Rattus norvegicus: one gene and its partner. The protein of the gene in region 2 interacts with the protein of the main gene of each other region in a pairwise test. Links are inferred from orthologs where the notes say so. Each region holds a gene or a part of one and is shown on either strand. Other genes may lie near its edges.

The links.
Region 1: the proteins of Fhl3 (region 2) and Ttll10 interact in binary tests that used the Homo sapiens proteins (3 or more experiments, as listed by UniProt). The two-hybrid records come from large-scale screens. The link is inferred for Rattus norvegicus from reciprocal best matches to the Homo sapiens genes FHL3 and TTLL10.

What each region holds. Positions count from the first base shown.
Region 1 is NC_086023.1:171,911,871-171,914,104, forward strand, and holds the end of Ttll10 (protein polyglycylase TTLL10), read right to left. Parts: intron 1,841-2,234; coding exon 1,724-1,840; intron 1,408-1,723; coding exon 1,314-1,407; intron 1,030-1,313; coding exon 575-1,029; 3' UTR 501-574; downstream 1-500. UniProt on the Homo sapiens protein: Inactive polyglycylase.
Region 2 is NC_086023.1:142,237,299-142,241,589, forward strand, and holds the start of Fhl3 (four and a half LIM domains protein 3), read left to right. Parts: upstream 1-1,491; 5' UTR 1,492-1,539; intron 1,540-4,291. UniProt on the Homo sapiens protein: Recruited by SOX15 to FOXK1 promoters where it acts as a transcriptional coactivator of FOXK1.

The DNA of each region.
Region 1 (2,234 bases), about 30 Mb from region 2:
CTTTGTGCCTCTCATGCCTGACAGACTCCAGGCCTTTGTAGGGAAGTGGGGGCTTTGGCTGTAAACAGTGTTCCACAAAGTGTCTGAAAGTCCAGAAGATAGGTCTTGGGCAGGATAAGGACAAACTCCCGCTCTGCACCAGAATAGTAATGGGGTAAGGTGGGGCCTTCCAGAGTTCCATGGGCATCCAAGACCTTTCCTAGGGATTCCATAGAACAGTGGGTGGGTCCTAGTGCTAGACTGCAGAGGTCAAGAAGGCCATGGAGTTTTAGGAGGTTCCTACAGAATGAGTAACAGAGAGCCACAAACGGGGACCCAGGGTTTGGTGGGCTGCCCCAGAGAAGGAAAAAGAGATCAGGGGAGTTTTTCCCTTCCTGAAGAACTCATTCCCATTCTGCCTGCTCCCCTCTCCTTCCTCTAAGGACAATCAAGGAGCAAAGAGAGAAGTGGGGACAGAAGAGCTTGGGGCACCCATATGGGATCGGTTTCTGGAGGTCGCATTTGTCACAAAGTAGCTTTTATAGGTCCTGGAGAGGGCATGGCAAAGCGCAAGGCCACTGGATGCTTGTGGCTGCTAGGAGCCTCGATGGCTCGTGCTCCTCTGTTCCTCCTCTCGCTCTTCCTCGGTTGGCCCCAGGGAGGGTTCCCGGGCTGCGTCCCTGCTGCCTTCCGGGAGCCCAGAACAAACAGAGGTCTCAGACTCCTCTATGGAGACACCGCCCGAGTCAGACAGCCGCGATTTGCGGGAGGCGCAAATGGGAGCTGTTCTGGAAGACATCGACTTGCGTGCCGCAGGCCGGTCTGCGATAGTGACACGTGTTGAGGTAAGCGAAGAGGATGAGATTTCGCAGGTGGACCGGGCATGGTTAGAGTTAGCATAAGGCAAGCGGATAGGTGGGCGTGAGCTCCCCAAGCGCGGCCACAAGTCTGTAGTCTCGCCATTGTAAAGGAGCACAAAGCGACGCTGTGACTGCAGAGGCAGCATCTTCTGACTGTGCAAACTCTTTTGGCAGGTCTCAAGCGCCAGGTCTGTGGGAAGGCAGGGGAGCGACAAGGTGAATGGTGAGAGGGCAATTTGGAGGTAGCAACCTCTCAGCATGTCTGGAAACAAGGGAGGAGGAGAGGGGTTCATGAGGGATTGGATGTAGATGGGTGAAGTGACAGAAGTATGAGCAGAGGGTTTGGCTGCTATGCAGATTATGGAGTGCTGGAAAGCCAGACTTGAGTCTGAACTTGGAGGCAAATAGGATGGGGTACCCAGAACTGGGGAAAAGTATATGGGAAATTGTGGTGTGGGACTGCCCAGAGCTCACCCAAGGTCTCCATAACCACTCCAGGAATCACCTCCTTCAGGACTTCACAATTGGTATGTAGGGCAGGGTTGGAGTTCATCTCCAGCAGCCACACCTGTGGCAGACAGTGGTCAGCCTCATTCTCTACCCACCTACTGTCCAGTTGGCCGTTAAGAAGGTGGGGACTCTGGTCCCGATTAAGCCATGGGATTCTGGGCGGATTGTATCTTTCCATGGTTTTGTTCCCCTCGTTTGCTCAAGGAATTAAGACTGATCTTGAGAGCTGCTCAGTTCCAGTAGGAGACCAGCTTCACACATACATCCAAATCTAGGGCTGAGTCCACCCACTGGGTACCCTTATGTGCTCAACGCACAGAAGGGCCCTACCTCCGTACACCTGCCTACCAGACCTCCTCTTCCCAAGACAGCACCTTGAAGTTTTCATCAATCAGGAAATCACAGCCAATGAGGTCAAAGTAACCCAGCTTGCACTCCAGCTTGGACTTGACAGCCAGGAAGCAGTGGGACATGATCTGCTGCATCCGCTTCTGTGGGTGAAGTAGGGAGGTTTCCTGCTGTCACCTGTTGGCCCAGATGAAATCTCCTAGGCCTGAACAGTCAGTCACACCTTTTTCTTGCACCCTCACCCTCACCTGCACAGCTGAAACTGCCCACACTTCAACAGAGTCACAGACCCACAGTCAGAAACTCATTCAACAAAATCATGGAGCTTCTACTGTGAGGTAAGTACTAGGAGATACAAAAGTGAAGGAAATTAGAACTTGCAGGAGGAGAGACAGACAACTAGAGCGCACACCCTGGTCAGGGATGGAGAACATTATAGCATTTCAAGTTGTCCTAGTTAGATTCATTCCAGGAAAAAATACATCTCGCTATCAGAAATAGCAGAGCACGTCTACCTTACAAATTATTTGTTTTCTT
Region 2 (4,291 bases):
CCAACCTCTGCTCTCGTGGCATTTGCAATTTAAGAATCAACAGCATTGGGGTTGGGGATTTAGCTCAGTGGTAGAGCGCTTGCCTAGGAAGCGCAAGGCCCTGGGTTCGGTCCCCAGCTCCAAAAACAAAAAACAAACAAGAATCAACAGCATTGTGGTTGGGGATTTAGCTCAGTGGTAGAGCGTTTGCCTAGCAAGCACAAGGCCCTGGGTTCGGTCCCCAGCTCTGGGAAAAAAAAAAATCAACAACATTGAAGCAATTCTTTAACTTTAAAAGGAAACCTGGTCTGGTAATTGTTTTAGGACCTAGGAACCAGACCCATGTTATGGAACGATCCTCACCAGCCTTGAAGGCTCTTAATCCCCACAAACTACCTTGGCTGGATGCAGCCTTGGATCAGGGAAGCCTCTCTGGGCATCTGAATCATCACGGAGATGCAAAGGTTATTACCAGGGTTAGTTTGTTGTCTCTTGTTTTGCAAACAGCACAACAGAGCTTCCCCCACCCCACCCCCGCCCTCCAGATCAAGGCTATTTATTTCTAGTGACAAGCCTGAGGATCCCAGGGGGGTTGGCCTCAAGGACCTGGATGGGCCTCATGTCCCTGGCAGGCGCCAGTCCTCCCTTCCCGAACCAGGGTAGAAGCTGGAGGGTCAGAAACTACACAAGTTCCCTCTCTTCTTAACCACCCCTGCCTACACCAACCCAACCCCTCACATTGTTCACACACCCTCTCAAGAAACCCAAAGCCAATGGGACCTAGGATTAGGGTCTCCCTGAGCCTGAAAGGTCAAAATTATTCCTGGGCACTATTGAAACCTCAGTGCCAGGACACAGCTGAAGATGGGGAGGCTGTTGCCTGGGCTTTCGCCACTCGCTTATAGAATAAAAATCCTTTGAAATTGAGGAGGATAGAGGCTCTCTCTCTTTAACCCAAGTTTTTAGAAAAAACAAAAAAAAACAAAAAAAAAAAACAAACACAAACCCTTGATCTCCACTGGTAAGTCAGAATCAAAACCACGCCTCCAGCAGGCTGGATTAAGGCCTCTTCCCAAGCTAAGGTTTAGTGTAACATCTGGGGATGAGCTAGAGGGAAAAGAGGAGGGGGTCTGGTCCCCAGATGGACTCTAGCTAAGTCCTGGAAGCCCCGTATCCCTGGCCTGGGATCGCTTCCAGAAATCCCCCGGGGTCGAAGGGGCGTAGAGGGCGGGTCAGGCTGCAGGGGGCGAGCAAGGAGTGGTCGAGAAGGTCAGAGCGCCAGATTCGCCTGGGCTGGGCTCGCGGCAGGCAGGAGGGGGCGGGGTCTTGCCCCCGCGGGCGGGTTGGGGGCCCGGGGGCGGGGTCCGGGCGGGGCGGGCCGGCTCACTTCCTCGGAGGCTTAGGGCCGCGCGCCCACTCGCCCACACAGTCTGTCGCAGCAGGCTACCTCGCCGCGGCTCTCTCGGCCCCCTCGGCCCGGCCCGCAGGTAGGAGCCGCCGGGAGATCGGCTCCCGCCCCACCCACGCCGCTCGCGCCCAAGCTCCCGCGCCCGCTTCGAGGTGAGAGTCCCCCCACCCACCCAGCTTCCAGCCCCTGTTTCCGCGCTGCGTTCGGACCAGGGTTGGCGCCCGGGCCCCCACCCCTGTCCTCTGCTGGGGCATCTCGAACACGGGATCCCGCGCGCCTGCACGGACCCCACCGCTCCGCGCCTCCCGGTCGGGCAGGGACCGCCCGAGTTGCAGGGGATTGGGACCAAGTTTGAACTAGAAAAGCTTTAGAGGTAGCGGGGTTGGAGAAACTGAGGCTTTTAAGGAGTCTGGTAGAACAGGGAAGGGCGCGCGCCCCAGGAGGCTACCCGGACCACACCAATGGTGGCTGAGAATGGCCGGATAAACTTCTCGAGGCGCTGCCGGGGACCCGGGTTCTGTGGAGCAATTTAAGAAGCAAAATGTATGACCCCAGGGAACTCATTGCTAGCGCCCTTCCCAGGGCCTTGGAAGGCCCCGAGGCTGGAGCTTGTTAGACTATGGCTAAATCTGCCTCCCTGAGGCCTAAAGAGACTCTCAGGTGAGAGACACTGAGACGCTGAGAGACCAAGACTTGGATGCACAGGGACAGAGATCCTCAGAGTGGAGGCCCCACTAGGACACAGTTTCAGAGATACAGGAACACCTTCACCCCAACACAAAGACAGCAGCCCAAGGGTACCGAGAGGTATGGAGTGGAGGCTAGAGTTCACTGAGGAGAGACACCTAGTGTATTCACTGACAGCTGCCCCAGGCCTGAAAGGGTGGAGGCAAAGCTAGGGGGAAATTGAGTCTTAGCCAGCCCATCCCCCAGGAGGCAGAGGACCTGAGGCTGTAACGCTGAGCTGAAGAAAGAGAGCCCCGTACAGCCTCTAAGACAGCGCCAACTTATTTTTAAACTCAAATCTTGGACGCTCTGCCTCAGCCCTAGGGGACTCTGGGGTGAATGAAATGTTCCTCTCCTGTCCTCAGAGCAGCTGCTGGATCCGCTCCCTTATCCCCTTCTCCCTAAACTGCTTGACTTCCAGGCCCTGTGGGCAAGAGGGGCGGTGGAGAGTTTGGGATTGGTGCCTGGTTGGGGGACAGGGAGAGGGAGGGTTAGAGGGGGCTCTAATTTCTCCCCTAAGTCTCTTGTCAAGGGGGAGGGGTCTTCTCTAAGTCTGAGTCACAGCTGTGGGGTCTGGCCAGGGTCCTCGTGGACTTGGGATATGTGGGGGAGCGGGAGGCGGGGAAGGGGGGTATACCAAAGGGTTGAGCAGTTGGCATGGGTGATTGGAAAGACTTCTGGGTGTCTTCCAATGGCAGGTTGACAGCTGGGGAGGAGAGCCAGCCCCGTCCTCCCCTCCCCCCATGACTGCCCCTTCCACCACTATCATAGCATTTCCAGGCAGAGCTCTCCACTAAGGGATAGGTCACTTGTGCTCCAATTGCTGAACAGTCTCGGTCATGCCCCTAGCCTGCCCCTAGTGTCTTGTGCTGAGCTCTAAACGAGCTATACACTCTGTCCTGCCTTTTGGTGTGCGGCTTGTAGTGACCGTGGGGTATGTATTGTGTAAATAACAAGACATCGAGCAAAGTGTGTGCCCCCGGGAACTACCCACCTGTAAGGTCTTTAAAGTTCCCCCTCCTCCTGTGTCCTGCTGACTGGTCTCAGTGGTTCCCTGAGACTCCTGAGGTCACATCCCAGGCCAATTCCCGCTTCAGGCCTGCCTGAGACCCACCGTCTGACCCCAGTAGGAGTTGAGGGGCTTGTAGTAAAAATACAAGTGACTACCGTTTACTTACATAAGGCTACAGACTTATGACTGGCCAGACACTGTTCTGGGGATTGTCACATTTAAGCTCAACAGCTGTCTTAGGAGAGGGAGGTAATAGTATCTCATTTAACTAGATGGACAGTCTCGGGGCATGTAAACTGTGTACCCAAGGTCACAGGATTTCAAGTCGGGTTTATATTTTGTGACCCAAGCAAGCTGTTATACACTGGACACCGTACAGAAAGATATGCTGCCACTCTGCTCTCGGAAGTTCACTGGTGTGTGTGTGTGTGTGTGTGTGTGTGTGTGTGTGTGTGTGTGTGTGTGTGTGTTCAGTCAGGCATGGAGATATGTGTGTTAGTGGAAATAGCAGATTGGGGTCATCTGGAAGACCCACTGTCTCCTCTAATCTACCCCCCTCCTAACCCCCTACTCCTCCACCCCCTTCACCTCCTCACCCCCCTCACTCTCCCACCCCCTACCTGCTACCAGGAATACAGACCATCTCCCAGCTCACCTTTCTAGTCCTCCAGCCTTGCCAGGGATGGGGGTGGGGTGGGGGGGACTGGGGAAAAGACAAGTGGGCCTTGGTGGTGCCCTTCACTCTGTCCTCATTAGAGACATAGATTAAGGGATTGGGAGATTCTGGGAAGGAAGCAGAAGGCACACCCATGCCCTATTTGGGGTGCCTCATCTCATTGTGGTGACTGGCTCTGAGGGGGTGGATCCAGGGCTAGCCTGGACCTGGGAAGGTAGCTGCTGCCGCCAAGCCCGGAAGGAAGGGCTCCCAAGTGGACTCACGGCCACAGACCACCTGTATTTGCTGTTGTGGCTAACAGCCCAGGCGATCCTCAGAGGCTGGGCCAGAGGAGACCAAGACCTGAATGACGGTGGGGGGAGAGAAGGAGAGGGAAGAGGAGGTTCTCTTCATCCTTTAGCATAACCCCTACCTGAGGACTCTCCCCTTTGAAGACTTCAGCTTTGGTCTGTCCAAAGCTTTGGTGTGTCCTGCTTTGGTTGTGAACCAG